Linked DNA regions of Callithrix jacchus. The protein of the gene in region 2 purifies or fractionates together with the protein of the main gene of each other region. This does not show direct contact. Links are inferred from orthologs where the notes say so. Each region holds a gene or a part of one and is shown on either strand. Other genes may lie near its edges.

Region 1 (4,341 bases), on a different chromosome or scaffold from region 2:
CTGACCAACATAGAGAAACCCCGTCTTTACTAAAAATACAAAATTAGCTGGATGTGGTGGCGGGCACCTGTAATCCCAGTTACTGGTGAGGTGAGGCAAGGGAATTGCTTGAACCCGGTGGCGGAAGTTGTGGTGAGCTGAGATCTCGCCATGGCACTCCAGCCTGGGCAACAAGAGCAAAACTCCGTCTCAGAAAAAAAAAAAATTATTTCCACATTTTTAGGAAGGCCTTATCTTTCAGGCCTGGGACCCACATGAGTGAGGTTTGCCCGGCCTCAGTCTGCAGTCAAGTTCGTTTATTCTTGTGTGTGCTTTCTTAGCAAGTTCCTAGGCCTGTTCCCATGTTGGTGTGACCTCCCTGTGGGCATTTCAAAGGCAGGAAGGTCTCCTCCTCCGTGACTCTTCAGCATCAGGGGGACCCTCCCAGGTGGTGGGCAGGAGCTGATGTCCTTCTCTTCACAGGGAGCCCATTCCGGGTGCCGGTGAAGGATGTGGTGGACCCCGGGAAAGTGAAATGCTCAGGCCCAGGGCTGGGGGCCGGTGTCAGGGCCCGGGTCCCCCAGACGTTCACCGTGGACTGCAGTCAGGCTGGCCGGGCACCTCTGCAGGTGGCTGTGCTGGGTCCCACAGGTATAGAATGGCCGGGGCAGGGAGGAGGGAAGTTGGGGGGGGCTGTCCGGAGGCTCTGCTGACCCTGCGCCCTTGTCCAGGTGTGGCCGAGCCTGTGGAGGTGCGGGACAATGGAGATGGCACCCACACTGTCCACTACACCCCAGCCACAGATGGGCCCTACACGGTAGCCGTCAAATATGCTGACCAGGAGGTGCCACGCAGGTGAGGACCAGCGCTGGGCTCCCGTGCTGCAGCTGAGCTCTGAGGTGCTCCTGCTGGGGCGGCACTGCAGGGTCACTGCTGGGGGCCCCTGGGAGAGCCCCTCCCGCTGTCAGCCTCATCCAGTCTCCCTGCCCTATCTAGCTCTTCCCCAGGGCTCTGCCCTGAGGCTGTCTTGCCCCAGGAGCTTTTACAGCAAAACTAGCGCCTTAGGAAATGAGCAGGAGGCCTGGGCCAGGGCCTCCCCCCAGGCCCTCCCATAGCACCTTCCTGGGGAATGGAGAAGTGCCCTGTCTCTGTCACAGGAGTCCCAGAGTGGCCCTGCCCCCAGACTCAGAATGTAATCAGCTTCTGGGAACTGGTCCCTCCTCCCTGGTCCACAGTCCTCCTTCCTGCCCATGTCTATGGGTAGGAATCTGGTTCAAGATGAAATCACCCCCTACCCTGTCCATAGCCCCAGTCAACTATCTATCCCTTCTGCTCCTCAAGCCCCTTCAAGATCAAAGTCCTTCCAGCTCATGATGCCAGCAAGGTGCGGGCCAGTGGCCCCGGCCTCAACGCCTCTGGCATCCCTGCCAGCCTGCCGGTGGAGTTCACCATCGATGCACGGGATGCGGGCGAGGGGTTGCTCACTGTCCAGATCCTGGTGAGTCCCTGCACAGCCCACCCCCCAGGTCATGCTCCAGGCACAGGTGGACCTTGACCTCTTCTTCTCCCTCAGGACCCCGAGGGTAAGCCCAAGAAGGCCAACATCCGGGACAATGGGGATGGCACATATACCGTGTCCTACCTGCCAGACATGAGCGGTCGGTACACCATCACCATCAAATATGGCGGCGATGAGATCCCCTACTCGCCCTTCCGCATCCATGCTCTGCCCACTGGGGATGCCAGCAAGTGCCTCGTCACAGGTAGGTGTACACCCGCTCCCTGTGCCCTGCTCACCACCCAGCCCCTCAAATCCCCTCCAGAGCCCTGGCCTGGTCCCCAGGGGTCTGCTGGTGAGAGGACACACACGTCCCAGCCCTGGCCCTGCCCTCCCCGACACAATGCCCCAGTCCACACTGAGCACGGCCTGACCTCACACTCTTCTCTTTCCAGTGTCCATTGGAGGCCACGGCCTGGGTGAGTGCCCTTTCTCTCCTCTTCTTGCTGTGGGCCAGGGTGGTTAGCAGTGGGGGGTGGGCAGCCAGGAACAGAGAGGGCTGCCTCCAGACCTCCAGCCTCCTGAGCAGGATCTCCCACATGGCAGGTGCCTGCCTGGGCCCCCGAATCCAGATTGGGCAGGAGACGGTGATCACAGTGGATGCCAAGGCAGCCGGCGAGGGGAAGGTGACATGCACGGTGTCCACACCGGATGGGGCAGAGCTCGATGTGGACGTGGTTGAGAACCATGATGGTACCTTTGACATCTACTACACAGCGCCCGAACCGGGCAAGTACGTCATCACCATCCGCTTCGGGGGCGAGCACATCCCCAACAGCCCCTTCCACGTGCTGGTAAGCTCCAAAGCCACCACAAAAGACTAGCTGGCCGGGGTCGATGGGGGGATGGGGGGACTGGCCCTTTTAGCAGCAGCAGGGATCCCAGATAACTGTCCCCAAGGAATACCACTTTGAGGGCTCCTGGGGCCAGAGGGCTCCAGGATGGAGCCTTAGCTTTCCCCACAGTCCCCCGAAGTGGGAGGAGAACAGGGCCCTGCCCCCTGCCGGAACCTGCTGTGTGTTCCACCATCCCCAGCTCCGGCTCCCCAGAGGCTGCCCTGCAGGAGGATGAAGCCCTCCAAGAGGCGAGCACCCAAGACATCACCCAGCATTTCAGATTCCTGGGCCATTCTCTGAGTCAGCCCCTGGGCCTGTGAGCCTACCACACCCTGTGCCCCCTTGCCTTGCCTCCCCAGGCGTGTGACCCCCTGCTGCATGAGGAGGAGCCCTCTGAAGTGCCGCAGCTGCACCAGCCCTATGCTCCTCCCCACCAGCCCTACGGTTCTCCCAGGCCTGGTGCCCGCCCCACACATTGGGTATTGCGCCTTCCACTGGGCAATGTCCTCCTTCTCCTCCTCCCTTTCCTTCATTTCTCATCTCTAATCTTCTGTAGCCAGGGCTGAAGCGTGGTCTGGGGGCCTCCTGGGGAACAGGCAGGGCTCAGGCTGGGCAGATGGAGCCCCGCTTGGGCACCGCACTCCTTCTCTTGCAGCTGACGCACCTCTCTTGCCATGCTGGTCTCACCATTAACTACCTTGTTCTTTCCTCACTCTCCAACTTCAGTCATGGCACAGGCCAAGCTCCCGGGCCTTCCCCAGTCACTGACTGTTCCCTCTTACCTGCCACAGGCCACAGAGGAGCCAGTGGTGCCTGCAGAGCCAATGGAGTCCATGCTGAGGCCCTTCAACCTGGTCATCCCCTTCACGGTGCAGAAAGGGGAGCTTACAGGTACTGCCCTGTGGCCCCCAGGCATGCCCTGTGTCTTAGAGATGAAAACCGAGGCCCAGAGAGAGGAAGCGAGCTCTACCCAGGGCCACATAGCAGGTTGAGCAGAGCCAGAACTCGGGTGCAAACCATCTGTCCCCCAGTTCAGGGCTCAGGCAACTGCCACAGGCTGTCTCCTGGTGCCTGGCCTCCCAGGTGGCAACAGAAGCACTCAGGTGCAGGCCTGGGACAGCAGGGAGGTTGCAGTGGGGGAAACCAGGGTCCCCACGTAACTGCATCTCCCTGCAGGGGAGGTGCGGATGCCCTCTGGGAAGACAGCACGGCCCAACATTACCGACAACAAGGACGGCACCATCACGGTGAGGTACGCGCCCACCGAGAAAGGCCTGCACCAGATGGGGATCAAGTACGACGGCAACCACATCCCTGGTGAGCTGGGGGCTGGGCTGGGCTGGGGCTTGGGTGAGAGGAGCTGGCAGCAGCTTCAGTCCTGCCTTCCTTCTTTCAACAAATATTTATTGAGCACCCGCTGTGTGCAGACACCATGCGAGGCCCCAGGGAGGCTCATACCCTGGTGGGAGGCAAACTCCACCAGGTGGGTCCCTACGGCAGAGACAGAGGGGGTTGGCAGGGAGGCTGCTGGAAGGCACTGGGGCCGAAGTGGGCTCAGACATTCTCCGATGCTGACCTGGCCCCCTTTTTCTCTCTGCCCCCAAGGGAGCCCCTTGCAGTTCTATGTGGACGCCATCAACAGCCGCCATGTCAGTGCCTATGGGCCAGGCCTGAGCCATGGCATGGTCAACAAGCCAGCCACCTTCACCATTGTCACCAAAGATGCTGGAGAAGGTGAGAGAGTGACAGGTGGGGGGCTGGGGTGGAGACTCACCAGGGGCAGGGGCAAGGGCAGGAACTCTGATCTTGGCCCCACCTCCACCTACAGGGGGTCTGTCGCTGGCCGTGGAGGGCCCATCCAAGGCAGAGATCACCTGTAAGGACAACAAGGATGGCACCTGCACCGTGTCCTACCTGCCGACCGCACCTGGGGACTACAGTATCATTGTGCGCTTCGATGACAAGCAC
Region 2 (5,138 bases):
AGCCCTGCTAGGCGCACAGTGGGTATGGTAAATACTATTTGAGGATGGCCTTGTTAACAGTCTCGTCTTCTGTTTCAGAACACCAGCTACTGAAAGAGTTCAGTGTGAAGTGCTTCATGCGCAGAGCAATAGATGCCCAGCAAATCAGTGATGAAATCCAAGTATAGTAATTTCCTTTTTCTAATTAGCCACGAGAGCTTCAAGCTCCCAATGGGGTAGTTACCAGAATTTCAGAAGTTAAGACAGTCATTTACCTTCTTCTGAGTTAATTTACCTAAACAGCTGAAGTGACCTGAGCCGGGATCCTGCCAGTCATACTGCCCAAAGATAAGTAAAAGGCCTGGCTAGCGTCAAGGGACCTGGATAGAAATCTTGGCTTTGCCACTGTCTGAGACATCTTTAGAACTGGCTTTCCATCTACTCATTCACTTAGTAGATATGAATTAAGTCTAATTATGTGCCAGGCACTGTGTTAGAGGATGGAAATACAAAGAGCAAGACCAAGTCTCTCAATTCAAGGAATTCACATTCCACTGGAAAGGTGGGGGCAGGAGTACAGCTTACATCACCTACAGGTCCAGGTTCCCTATCTCTAAAATCTTAGGACAACCTCTAGGTTCAATTTTAATGTGTTGGGTCTGTTAAATTTAGCATTTGATCAAAGCTCAGAACAGAGCAAAAGTCTCCCACCACCTCTGGCTCTCCCTTACAAAGGCAGGCATTACAAAAAGACTCGGTAGAAGCATTTTCTTTAGTTTGTCTTGCCCTAGAATGCAGGTCACGACTTTCTCCACTGCTTTTGACCTCTGGCTAGCAATTGTACCTATTTTCAAAAGGCCCTAAGTGATAATGCTTTTGGTATTCTGAGAACGGCTGTTTATGAAAGGCTTCCTTGCTTTCGCCTAAGTCAGATATTTACCAGGTGGCATAGGTCAGAGGTGCAGAAAAGTTTGTTTTGTCTTAGCAGGGCAGGAGGATCCACTAGAGGACTCACTCTTAACAGGTGAGTCCAAGGAAGCGCCTACAAAAGACGCAGTGGTGAAACTAGCTGGGCACCTGTAATCCCTACCCAAGGCAAGGCTGAGGAAGGGGGATCGCTTGGACCCTGGAGGTCGAGGCATGATGGCGTCACTGCATTCAGCCTAGATGGCTAAGCAAGACCTTGCCTCAAAAAGAAAAAAAAAGGTAAAAGATGTGGTAGTGCCAGGCGTGGTGGCTTGGGCCTGTAATCAATCCTAACACTTTGGGAGGTTGAGGCGGGAAACAGCTTAAGGCCAGGAGTTCCATACCAGACTGGGCAACTGAAGTGAGGCCCTCGCCTTAAAAAAAAAATTAGCTGGGTGAGGTGGTGCACGCCTGTGGTTTCCAGCTACTCTGGAGGCTGAGGCTGGAAGATCGCTTGAGCCACGGGAGGTCAAGGGTGCAGTGGGCTCTGACTGAGCCACTGCACTACAGCCTGGGCGACAGAAGGGACCCTCATCTCTAAAAAAAATAAAGAAAAAAAGAAAAGAAGCAGTGGTGAACGCAAGCAGGTATGGTAGCCCAATACCATGGGGAGGCCAAACAGGCTTTAAGGCAGCATTCCGTCCTCCACACCCAGCCCGGAAGCTTTCCTGCCACACAAGCTTTCCAAGCATGCTAGCTCGCCCCAAGCAGCGCCCATCCCGCAGCATCCACTGCAGCCACCGCAGAGAGCGGCGCAGCTTAGAAACCCGTCCCCAGGTGGGGAAAACGGTCCGCGGGAGTCACGTGGGCGGGAGGCCCAGCCAGAAATCTCAAGACTGCGCAGGCCCCTGAGCCTCAGCGCCCCCGGCTCCGCCCCGCCCGCGCGCGAGTGCGCGCGCGCGCGCGGGGGACTACGCCCGTGACGTCGGCGGGGCACAGCGGAGCGGGACAGGAGGCGGGGCGCGGGCCGGAGTGGGTGGGGCGAGTCGGTGCTGCTGAATCGGGCGCCCGGACGAGTCGCGCATTCCAGCGGGGTCATGTGACGCGGCCGCGAGGCCTGAGGTAAACAACCGCGGCCCCGCCTCCCGGGCCTCCGCGCGCCCCGCGCTCCTCCTTGTCGGCGAGACGCGCTCTAGCGGGGTGGGTAGCTTCTTCCGAGAGTCCCCTGCGGCCGCCGCAGCAACTGCAGCGGGCAAGGCGCCCAGGGTCTGCAGGCCGAGCGCACCGGCAGGGGTCGAGCGCGCGTCCCGTCCCCGCCCTCCCCCCACGCTGTGGCGCAGCAGGAATTTGGCCGGGACCCGGGAGCTATTCGCGGCTGCTGACGCGCGGCGGCCGGCGACCGGGCGCTCATCTCTATTCTGGGGCCGTTTGGTCACCGCGCTCCGCCGGCCCCCTCCCCCGGGCCCGGAGGGTGTGTCCCCCGCTCGGGGGCTCGCCGCGCCTATAAGGGGCCGAGCGGCGGGCAGGGACATGCAGCTCTACAGCAGCGTCTGCACCCACTACCCCGCCGGGGCCCCGGGTCCCACGGCCGCAGCCCCCGCGCCGCCTGCAGCCACCGCCGCCGCCCCCTTCAAGGTCTCGCTGCAGCCCCCGGGAACCGCCGGCGCCGAGCCCGAGACCGGTGAGTGCCAGCCCGCCGCGGCCACAGAGCCCCGGGAAGCCGCCGCTGTCCCCGCCGCCAAGATGCCTGCCTTCTCCTCTTGCTTCGAAGTGGTGTCCGGGGCCACCGCGCCCGGATCCGCAGCCGCCGGCCCGCCCAGCGCGTCCTGCAAGCCGCCACTGCCGCCGCACTACACTTCCACCGCGCAGATCACCGTGCGGGCCCTGGGCGCCGACAGGCTCCTGCTGCACGGGCCCGAGCCCGCTCCCGGCGCCGCGGGCTCTGCGGCCGCCCCGCGCGGCCGCTGCCTCCTGCTGGCCCCGGCGCCCGCAGCCCCCATCCCGCCGCGACGGGGCTCTTCCGCCTGGCTCCTGGAGGAGCTGCTGCGGCCCGACTGCCCCGAGACGGGCTTGGAGGCGGCCCGGGAGGGGCCCGATCGGAACTTCCGACTGAGCGAGCACTGCCAGGCCCTGGCCGCTGCCAAGCATCGAGGCCTCGCGCCCACCCCGGGGAGTCCCGACGCCGGCCCCGGTCCGTGGGGCGAGGAGCACCTGGCGGAGAGGGGCCCCCGGGCCTGGGAGAGGGGCGGCGACCGCTGCGACGCGCCTGGCGGGAACGCGGCTCGGAGGCCCGACCCGGAGGCCGAGGTGTCTCCCGGCCGGAGCAGCGAGGCTGCCCCGAGCAGCGCGGTGGAGCCGGTGGTTGTCCCCAGGTCGGATCCCAGAGACGAGAAGCTGGCCCTGTACCTGGCCGAGGTGGAGAAGCAGGATAAATACCTGCGGCAGAGAAATAAGTATCGATTCCACATCATTCCCGACGGCAACTGCCTGTACCGAGCTGTCAGCAAGACTGTGTACGGCGACCAGAGCCTGCACCGAGAGCTGAGGGAGCAGACCGTGCACTACATCGCCGACCATCTCGACCACTTCAACCCCCTGATTGAGGGCGACGTAGGGGAGTTTCTCATCGCTGCTGCCCAAGACGGGGCATGGGCTGGGTACCCCGAGTTGCTGGCCATGGGGCAGATGCTGAATGTGAATATCCACTTAACTACTGGAGGGAGGCTGGAGAGCCCCACGGTGTCTACCATGATTCATTATTTGGGCCCAGAGGATTCCCTGAGGCCCAGTATTTGGCTCAGTTGGCTCAGTAACGGACACTATGATGCTGTATTTGATCACTCCTATCCTAACCCAGAGTACGACAACTGGTGCAAACAAACTCAAGTGCAGAGGAAACGCGATGAAGAACTTGCCAAATCTATGGCCATATCCCTGTCTAAAATGTATATTGAACAAAACGCATGCTCTTGAAGTGTCTCAAAACCTTAACACCCTGGGAAAATTGCATACATAACTTGTGTTTGGAGAATCACGTGAACTCTAATCAGGGTAATAGCACTTTCAAACTTCCTAGTAGATTTTACTGTAGGTGTAATGCCTTAATCATCTTTTTGAATGTTTTCTCAGAGCTGAAGGTTGCTGGGCACCCAAATGATGTTTCATGATAGCTTAGGGTGATTTTACTGCTATTTATAATTTGCTGTATAAAGTGAGCACTACTTAATTTGCAAGCTGTTTTCTCACAGTGTAAATTTGTTCATTCCTGGTAGTCTATTTTCTATAAAAATGTATTTTTGCACAACATTTTTAAAAACTGGTGTACCTTCATCTATGACGTGTCCCATTTTGACAGCTTTCAAGCATAAATCCAGAGAAGTGCTTTATATGAAATGTATTATTTTGAACAGAGTTTGTGATTTGGTAGTTCTTACGTTGTTGAAATTTGATTTTCACAATTCTTAGATAATTATTTCAGATGGATATTGATGTATTCTTGTTACCAAGTGTTTGGCCCATTCCATTTTGATGAAACAAATCTGTTCTGTTGGAAATAATTATTTTTCTAGAAATGGTGAATCTTTTAAAGAGAAATACTTAACAGAAGGTTGTGGGAAGGTTTTTTTTCTTCTTTTAAGGGATAGTACCAGGTCTTACTTGAATGAAAGTCTGATATTTGCCGATGACAGAGTGATTATTCTGTACCCTGGTTAATGTGTAAATTGTCTGGTGCTCTCAGTTTTATTTACATTTGTCACTTTGTTATAAGAGAATCTAACTTGGTATAAAATTTTGTGACAAGATAAGCCTCCTGCTTTATATAACTTCTTGGATCCAGCTAAGAGATTTATAAACTAATGTCATAAATGTCTGGAGCCAACCTTGGCAGTTATAGCAGGAGAACACTGTCTTAGTATTTCTTTTACATTCTTTCAAAAGGCAAAAAAGGATTGCCCTGTATTAACTTAGAAATGTCTGTAAACAGAGCTTGTGTGGTTTGCTGGGTCAAACAATGTTTCCCACTTAAAATCTATCTCATTGCCACTTTAACTACTTTTAGTCATATTTATTAAGTAATGCAGTTTGTACTTTTTTATTTTGTAACATTTTGTGATTTTTTTGTACAAAACTGTATTTGTACAATAGAGCAATTCCCAGCTGATGGAATGAATGAATAAAATGCAAAATTATACTTTTACAGTGCTTTCATGGATAGTGTTTTTTAAATTCTGATTCTTGAAGGAAACTTTCTT
Region 3 (4,160 bases), on a different chromosome or scaffold from region 2:
ACGTTGGCCAGGCTAGTCTCGAACTCCTGACCTCAGGTGATCCACCCACTTTGGCCTCCCAAAGTGCTGGGATTATAGGCATGAGCCACCATCCTCAGCCTTCGATGAGTTTTCTACATAGGGATTTGGATATGTCATTTGGACATGATCATATCTGACTAAATCTGTATCCATATATTACTGTTTGGTATACCTGAACTGCTAATTTTTACAGTGGAGATTTGGCCTGTTCTCCCAGTATTCAGAAAGGATTTGGTTGAAGCTGAAACTGCCCTTGATCAAACCCAATATTAAAAAAAATCCAGACTGGTAATAATTTTCTCTTTACATACACGGAGTTTCACAACAGGACTCTTGAAAGTAGTAACAAATTCCTATTAAATAAGATTTGATTTTTTTAGGCCAGGCACAGTGGCTCATGCCTATAATCCCAGCACTTTGGGAGGCCAAGGTGGGCAGATCACCTGAGGTCAGGAGTTTGAGATCAGCCTGACCAACGTGGAGAAACCCTGTCTCTACTAAAAATACAAAATTTACCAGGCGTGGTGATGTATGCCTGTAATCCCAGCTACTCAGGAGGCTGAGGCAGGAGAATTGCTTGAACCTGGGAGGCGGAGGTTGTGGTGAGCTGAGATCGCACCCCTGCACTCCAGCCTGGGCAACAAGAGCGAGACTCCATCTCAATAAAATAAAATAAAGTAAAATTTGATTTTTAAAAGTTAAGCAATCTAAAATGCCAAACAACAAGTTGACTTGTGAAACTCTGAATTGTATTCCCAGGAAAATAATCTAAAGTGAGGTATGCCCACAAGTGTATTTTAGAGAAAAGGTGCGTTAGAGAGGGCAGATGTCTAGTATGAAGACAACAGGCAGAAGAGTCAAGAAATGATGGTCCTTCCAGGAGTCCATCTCCAGGTTTCACTGTGAAGAACCAGGTCTCTGGACTCAGATTTGCAGTCAGTGTCCTTCCTGTCCCCTGCAGGATCCAATGCAGTTCTGGGACAGGAGTTGTTCCAGGTAAAACTGAGTCTCTTCCATACATTTATTTGCTTACTCATTCGACAATGATTTATGAAGCACTTACTATGAGCCAGAGCCTGTGCTAAGCTCTGGAGATAAAACCATGAGCAAGACCTCAATGTCAGGGCTTCTGCTTCCAGGAAGTCATGGGCGAGCAGGGAGACACATATACAAGGATGAGGCCTGGAGGGCTGCGAACATCTTCAGAGATAGTGAACCTCCTGAGAAGAGAGGAGGGGAGTCAAGTGTTGTGGGCCGAGGCCACAGTAGGTGCGTGCAAAGAGGTCTGGAGGGGTGAGGGAAGTTCAGGAAAGGAAAGGAGTTTCACCTGTGGAACAGGGAATGAATACACGGCTGAGAAAAACCCTGTGCTTGGTCAGTGCTGCGATTTGCTTGCTTTCTAATATGCATGGTTTTCCTCTTTTACCCACCTGCCTCCTTGACCACAGAACAGAAATTAATTTAGAAGAATCAGAATTTATTTCACTATGTGAACATTAAGAATTTGCCTACATAGTTGAAAATATTCACAAAGGACTTGAACATTCACACTCATATACAGAGAAAGTCTGCTGAATTAAAAAATGCTCCTTTACCCATCCGACCTCAGCAGCGGGTTTGCCAATTCCACTGTGGCACTTCAGTCTTCATGAATGTTGAATAGTTTGGCGACTTCATTGAGATCTTCATGCTGCTCACCATCCTTAATTATCTGAGGGAGAGAGTAACAATAGGTCCCTAACTCATTCCATGTGTGTTCAGGCCATGCCCACACAATGGGGCCACCATATCACACTGGGAGGGAGTTGTGGGAACACCTTTCTACTAACCCAAAACAAGCAGCCTGACAACTCCCAGATCACCCAGCCAAGTCCCAGGTGAAAAAGAATGTTCCTGAGCCAAGGCTATACCTTTGTTCTGCTTAGGCACAATTTGACCTGGGGGTACAATGTATCTCAGGGCACCTGATGAAGTTACAGGAGTCTTTCTGACCTGCACTTCCCACCTTCCTCTAAGAGCTATGACGGGCACCTACCTTCCTTGCTATTGGCATTCGGTTAAAGATGTTCCATAGCACAATCCCCACGACCACTTTGTCCCTGAGGTAAAAGACGACACCTTTGCCGTAGTCCTCCCCCTGGACGGGGGCCTGTGGAACTCCCGGAGTGCTGGGAGGAATAGTAATTTCTGAGGCCTCGGACTCTGTCTCACTCTCTGATCGGATACCAGTTCCTGTGGCCAGCCCCCAAAACAAACAAACACAGAAGCACAATCAAAACTTTAGTTATTACAAGCTTGGGAAATTCGAAAAGACAACAGTCTTTTGAGGCCTGCTTCAAGCTACTTCTAGAGGATTTATTTCTCTATGCCCCTCAGTAAACTCTGGCCTTCTCCAGCCCCTCTCCACTGACAAAGCCAAGGAATAAAGTCTTCCTTGCCAGCTTCTGGGCACTGGGTCAGTCTGACCCAAAACTTCCTTCCCTTATTACCTCCTTTTAAATTTATGCTATGGATATTTCCTGGTATCTGGATTTCTTCAAACTGCAAAAGGCTGGTTCTTGTCCTCTGAGGAACATTCTAGAACTGCATGGTCCAAATACAGTAGCCACTAGCCACAGATAGCCATGTAAATGAACATCATTTCAAACTGAGTAAGATATAAAATTCAGTTCTTCATCGGTACTCACCATGTTTCATGGGTTCAAAAGCGACATGTGGCTAGTGGCTAATGTACTGGACAGAGCAGAGATGAAACATTTCCATCGCAGCAGAAAGTTCTATTGAACAGTGTTATTAGACACTTTAGCCAAAGCAGAAGGCACTTCCATATGGAAAAACCATAGTGGAGGCATTTCTTCCTAGAGAAAGATAAGAGGGGAAGGAAAGGGTGGCAAGGGAGGGGGGAACCTCGTCTTCTGAGAACCACCAGGCTCCAAATAATACTGTCCAGTGGACAGACTGGTGACCTGAATCCACTTACTAGGTTACTAGGAGAGATCAGAATTAAGGAGTATGCAATACATAAGAATTACACAGGAAAAGGACCTACATATCCATAATATGTCTTGCTTCCTCCTTCTTAAAGAGCACCTTGCCCTTGAAATACCTCTGGCAAAAGGACACAGAGGTTAAATAACTTGAGCTAAGGTCAAGGAATAAGGTCTTGGAGTTAATGAAAGAGACATGTGTGGGAGAGAAGTCCATTCCAAGAGCGGTGCCTCCCATCTAAAGAAAACCTGGCACTATGATCTGCCGAATGGAATGAAAGGCAGCTGAAGAACTACTCAGCCCAGTTCCTCCCTGCCTGGGACCCATGGAGGATAGCCAGTCTGAAGCTAAGGCTCTCAGGCTGCGTTCTTGAGATTTACCTGAAGCAAAATAATAAAAATGACAACTGAAAGAAAGAAAAGTAAAAACACAACCTAAAAAGTTCAGGTTTTCTTGTTTTCTTCCTTAAGATAGGTCTTCCCAGAGACAAAACAACAGCGTCGTTGAGCTAGCCACTGTCCACTGTCTAGGGCGGATACCCACAGTATTTGAATCTATGCTTTGACCAGGACACCTGATTGTGCCAAATCTCATACCACTAAAGAGTGAGGACTTGGGGTTTGGTTTCTTTTAAAGCACAACATGAAGAGAGGCTTTCACTGACAAGCCCCTCCGGCCAATACAGAAGCTCCTTGTTCAGGAGAGTCTGGATCACTGCTTCTCAATTCTCTCCAAGAGGAGTGCTTCCTTACCTGACTGCTCTGTGGCAGATTTGGGGTTGTCCTGTGCAGTTGCTTTTGCAAAAACACCAACTGTGGGCAAACTACTGTCCACAAGACCAATAGCTTCATAGCCAACATCGGGGCCCAAATCACTCCTAAGAAGAGAGAAGAGCATGTTCTGTCAAGGGACTGTAAGGAGGAATGACATGGTAGCACATACTGTCCAGGACACTGCAATCTTTTTTTTTTTTTTTTTTTGAGATGGAGTTTTGCTCTTGTTGCCCAGGCTGGAGTGCAATGGTATGATCTCAGCTCACTGCAACCTCTGCCTCCTGGGTTTAAGCAATTCTCCAGCCTCAGCCTCCCAAGTAGCTGGGATTACAGGTGCCCACTACCACACCTGGGTAATTTTTGTATTTTTTAGTAGAG
Region 4 (4,341 bases), on a different chromosome or scaffold from region 2:
CCCACCCCACCCCGAGCTGCCAGACCGTGACCCTGCAGCCTGTGAGCGGCCCTTCCCGCACAGCTGGGTTCCTGGCACTGCCACTCTTCTACTCACAGACAGCAAGGCCATCGTGGACGGGAACCTGAAGCTGATCCTGGGCCTCATCTGGACTCTGATCCTGCACTATTCCATCTCCATGCCCATGTGGGATGAGGAGGAGGATGAGGAGGCCAAGAAGCAGACCCCCAAGCAGAGACTCCTGGGCTGGATCCAGAACAAGCTGCCACAGCTGCCCATCACCAACTTCAGCCGCGACTGGCAGAGTGGCCGGGCCCTGGGTGCCCTGGTCGACAGCTGTGCACCAGGTAAGGGGGCGCAGAGGCAGGGGAGACTGGGCTGGGGTTGCCCATGGATGGCCCTTGAGGGGTTTCTGTGGACCCCAGACTCACAGCCTTCCTTGTGCTGCAGGCCTGTGTCCTGACTGGGACTCCTGGGATGCCAGCAAGCCTGTGAACAATGCGCGGGAGGCTATGCAGCAGGCTGACGACTGGCTGGGCATCCCTCAGGTATACCCGCTGGGCCCTGCCTGCGGCTGTAGGGGACCAATCGGTAGCGGGGAGAGATTCGAAGGATGCTGTTTTCTGCCCCTGACAGGTGATCACCCCCGAGGAGATTGTGGACCCCAATGTGGACGAACACTCTGTCATGACCTACCTGTCCCAGTTCCCCAAGGCCAAGCTGAAGCCAGGGGCTCCCTTGCGGCCCAAGCTGAACCCGAAGAAAGCCCGTGCCTATGGGCCAGGTGAGTGAGGTCCCGAGAAGTCTTGGGTTACATGGCAGCTAGGTGATCAAGCCACCCGAGAGTCAGACAAGAGGAGGTTGGGACTAAAAACACTCCACTGAGTAGACACGAGAATACCAGAGGTTCCTTCAGTCATAGAAGCCTGCTGCATGGGGTCCAGTGGGCTTTATTATAAATGGAGCTGAAGCAGGTCTCGGTAACAGGGCCCAGTGCGGTGAGAATCAGTGTTCCAGAAAACAGGCACGGGCCTGTCCCAGCAGCAAGAGCACAGCTGGGTCCCGAGGCCAGGCTCTGTGCCACGGCTTACACTGAATGAACTTGCCCAGTTTGGAATGTGCCCGACTTGGGGGCCAGCAGGGAGGGGCATTGAGCCTGCAGAGGCCTGGGGGCTGGTACAGCACTGGTCCTCTACCCGTCTGCCTTCACGTTTGGGTGGAGGGGTGAGGCTGTGACCCTAACAGCTGGCCCGTGGCTGGCTCACACTCTCCTGCCAGGCATTGAGCCCACAGGCATCATGGTGAAGAAGCGGGCTGAGTTCACTGTGGAGACCAGAAGTGCCGGCCAGGGAGAGGTGCTGGTGTATGTGGAGGACCCGGCAGGACACCAGGAGGAGGTAGGGCCCCCTGCTGGCAGCTGAGGGCCCAGCAGTGCTCCCTTTCGGTGGGACTGCTCTTAGCAAAGGCTCATGGGCTCCTTCCTACCGCAGGCCAAAGTGACTGCCAATAACGACAAAAACCGCACCTTCTCCGTCTGGTATGTCCCCGAGGTGACGGGGACTCATAAGGTGAGCCCTTGGATAGTGGGGAGGCTTGTGACCTCAGGCGGTGGCTCGAGGCCCCAGCCCCACGCTCACGGCCCACCCTTCTGGGGATAGGTCACTGTGCTCTTTGCTGGCCAGCACATTGCCAAGAGCCCCTTTGAGGTGTCCGTGGATAAGTCACAGGGTGACGCCAGCAAAGTGACTGCACAAGGCCCTGGCCTGGAACCCAGTGGCAACATTGCCAACAAGACCACCTACTTCGAGATCTTCACAGCAGGTGAGGGGAGGCTGCCAAGGCCTGGCTGGTCTTTGGGGAGAGCTGCACTGGGGCCTGGGAGCTGAGTGGGTGCCTCATGGCAGGCGCTGGCACGGGCGAGGTCGAGGTTGTAATCCAGGACCCCATGGGACAGAAGAGCACCGTGGAGCCTCAGCTGGAGGCCCGGGGTGACAGCACCTACCGCTGCAGCTACCAGCCCACCATGGAGGGCGTCCACACGGTGCACGTCACATTCGCCGGTGTGCCCATCCCTCGCAGCCCCTACACTGTCACTGTTGGCCAAGGTAGGCCTGGCCCTGGACAACCTCTGCTGTGGCACTGCAGCCTGGGCCTCCCACATGAGGGGGAGCCCCCTGGGCCAGTCTTGCTGCAGCCCACCCCGGGACCCCATCTTTGAGCTTCACTATCTGGGCACCTGCTGTCTTTCCTCCCCTGCTGGGGCCCTTCCTCCTCTCCTCTCGGCTCCTCGCCCCTCCATCTCTCTCCTCTCCATGCTTTCACCTTCGGAAGAGCTCGCTCCAGCTGTCTAGAAACCTACCTGCTGCCCTCTGCTCTGCCCACAGGGTCAACGGTACTTGGATCTGTCTTCTTCTTGGAGGGGAGGGCTGGGGCCTCTGGGCTGGCATGGGGCAGGTGGGAGGAGGCCTGGCCCAAGCCACAGTTCCTGGGGTCACAGTCCCTTCCAGTTCTTTCTTGCATGTCCCTCTCCAATCCTGACAGCCTGGCCCTGTGGGAGGCCGGGGAAGGGGTGCCCAGCCCAGCTGCCAGCGCTCAGCTGGCCCCTCTGCCTACAGCCTGTAACCCGAGTGCCTGCCGGGCTGTTGGCCGGGGCCTTCAGCCCAAGGGTGTTCGAGTGAAGGAGACAGCTGACTTCAAGGTGTACACAAAGGGTGCTGGCAGTGGGGAGCTGAAGGTCACTGTGAAGGGCCCCAGTAAGTTGGCCTGGAGCTAGGCCAGGGTGGGTGGCGGCAGCCCCCAGGGTCACTGCTGTGCAGGCCTGAGGTCCTCCTTGTCTTGGCAGAGGGAGAGGAGCGTGTGAAGCAGAAGGACCTGGGGGATGGTGTGTATGGCTTCGAGTATTACCCCATGGTCCCTGGGACCTACATCGTCACCATCACGTGGGGCGGTCAGAACATCGGGCGCAGGTGAGAACCCCAAGCGTCCCTCTCACAGCTCTGTGCACTGTCTCTTCCTCTGCCTCCCCACCTGATGAGCCCAGGTGGGCTGTCCAGCAGCGTGGTGATCCTCGGTGTTCCCTGTGTGGCTCTCCCATTCGCAGTCCCTGTGAGGTGAAGGTGGGCACGGAGTGTGGCAATCAGAAGGTGCGGGCCTGGGGCCCTGGGCTGGAGGGCGGCGTTGCTGGCAAGTCAGCAGACTTTGTGGTGGAGGCTATTGGGGACGACGTGGGCACCCTGGGTAAGTTGGAGACTGCAGCATGGGCACAGACGGTGGCGAGGACAGCCCACCCTGAGGCTCCAGGGCACTGAGGGGACTGGTGGCTGTTGTCAGGGTTCTCGGTGGAAGGTCCATCTCAGGCCAAGATCGAATGTGATGACAAGGGTGACGGCTCCTGTGACGTGCGCTACTGGCCGCAGGAGGCTGGCGAGTATGCTGTTCACGTGCTGTGCAACAGTGAGGACATCCGCCTCAGCCCCTTCATGGCTGACATCCGCGACGCACCCCAGGACTTCCACCCAGACAGGGTAAAGGGCAGCCAGTGATGGCCTCAGTCTCAGCCTGCTGCTTCTGCTTGGGGGGCCCAGTGAGGGTGGCACAAGCCCCTTCCAATCAGCCAGGCGGGGGGTCCTGGGTACAGGCCCTGGGCTGGTATTCCCAGCAGTGTTCCTGGCACTGTGTCTCTGGCCACCCTGCCTGGGTTGTAGCTCTGGTGGCCTAGATCTGTTCCCCTAAGATCTGGCTGGTCTCCCACTAGGTGAAGGCACGTGGGCCAGGATTGGAGAAGACAGGTGTGGCCGTCAACAAGCCGGCAGAGTTCACAGTGGATGCCAAGCACGGTGGCAAGGCCCCGCTCCGGGTCCAAGTCCAGGTACAGCGCCCGTGGGTGTTGGGGGCAGGGCAGGCATGGGTACCCAGGCCTGGGCACTGAGCAGCAGGCCGCCTGCTCCTACCCACCTGGCAGGACAATGAAGGCTGCCCTGTGGAGGCGTTGGTCAAGGACAACGGCAACGGCACTTACAGCTGCTCCTACGTGCCCAGGAAGCCGGTGAAGCACACAGCCATGGTGTCCTGGGGTGGCGTCAGTATCCCCAACAGCCCCTTCAGGGTGAGCCAACCTCCACGGGCACATGATTCATCCATTTCAAGTGGACAAGTCAGTGATTGTAGCGCTTTCACAGAGTTGTGTGACCATAACCACCTAAGTTTAGGACATTTACATCATCCCACAGCCCCTGGTGAACACTACCCGGCTTTCCACTGTGGCTTTGCCTCTGTTACACACATTCTGGAGACAGACTCACGTGCCATGTGACCTTTTGTGTCTGGCTTCTTCCACTTACC

Evidence for each region.
Region 1: the proteins of OTUD1 (region 2) and FLNC purify together in Homo sapiens (affinity purification with mass spectrometry; 3 studies listed by BioGRID and IntAct, with this or other methods). This does not show direct contact. The link is inferred for Callithrix jacchus from reciprocal best matches to the Homo sapiens genes OTUD1 and FLNC.
Region 3: the proteins of OTUD1 (region 2) and AIFM1 purify together in Homo sapiens (affinity purification with mass spectrometry; 3 studies listed by BioGRID, with this or other methods). This does not show direct contact. The link is inferred for Callithrix jacchus from reciprocal best matches to the Homo sapiens genes OTUD1 and AIFM1.
Region 4: the proteins of OTUD1 (region 2) and FLNA purify together in Homo sapiens (affinity purification with mass spectrometry; 3 studies listed by BioGRID and IntAct, with this or other methods). This does not show direct contact. The link is inferred for Callithrix jacchus from reciprocal best matches to the Homo sapiens genes OTUD1 and FLNA.

What each region holds. Positions count from the first base shown.
Region 1 is NC_133512.1:118,333,043-118,337,383, reverse strand, and holds part of FLNC (filamin-C), read left to right. Parts: intron 1-462; coding exon 463-630; intron 631-710; coding exon 711-834; intron 835-1,320; coding exon 1,321-1,477; intron 1,478-1,552; coding exon 1,553-1,742; intron 1,743-1,932; coding exon 1,933-1,956; intron 1,957-2,083; coding exon 2,084-2,331; intron 2,332-2,732; coding exon 2,733-2,852; intron 2,853-3,164; coding exon 3,165-3,264; intron 3,265-3,549; coding exon 3,550-3,690; intron 3,691-3,978; coding exon 3,979-4,107; intron 4,108-4,201; coding exon 4,202-4,341.
Region 2 is NC_133508.1:23,882,868-23,888,005, forward strand, and holds OTUD1 (OTU domain-containing protein 1), read left to right. Parts: upstream 1-2,032; 5' UTR 2,033-2,415; coding exon 2,416-3,858; 3' UTR 3,859-5,083; downstream 5,084-5,138. UniProt on the Homo sapiens protein: Deubiquitinating enzyme that specifically hydrolyzes 'Lys-63'-linked polyubiquitin to monoubiquitin.
Region 3 is NC_133524.1:125,795,612-125,799,771, forward strand, and holds the end of AIFM1 (apoptosis-inducing factor 1, mitochondrial), read right to left. Parts: intron 3,887-4,160; coding exon 3,762-3,886; intron 2,254-3,761; coding exon 2,057-2,253; intron 1,733-2,056; coding exon 1,661-1,732; 3' UTR 1,617-1,660; exon of another isoform or gene 1,482-1,616; intron 1,242-1,481; 3' UTR 749-1,241; downstream 1-748. UniProt on the Homo sapiens protein: Functions both as NADH oxidoreductase and as regulator of apoptosis.
Region 4 is NC_133524.1:150,157,021-150,161,361, reverse strand, and holds part of FLNA (filamin-A), read left to right. Parts: intron 1-98; coding exon 99-347; intron 348-450; coding exon 451-548; intron 549-636; coding exon 637-784; intron 785-1,278; coding exon 1,279-1,397; intron 1,398-1,490; coding exon 1,491-1,568; intron 1,569-1,658; coding exon 1,659-1,821; intron 1,822-1,904; coding exon 1,905-2,105; intron 2,106-2,615; coding exon 2,616-2,753; intron 2,754-2,842; coding exon 2,843-2,966; intron 2,967-3,100; coding exon 3,101-3,237; intron 3,238-3,330; coding exon 3,331-3,524; intron 3,525-3,754; coding exon 3,755-3,868; intron 3,869-3,961; coding exon 3,962-4,105; intron 4,106-4,341. UniProt on the Homo sapiens protein: Promotes orthogonal branching of actin filaments and links actin filaments to membrane glycoproteins. Anchors various transmembrane proteins to the actin cytoskeleton and serves as a scaffold for a wide range of cytoplasmic signaling proteins.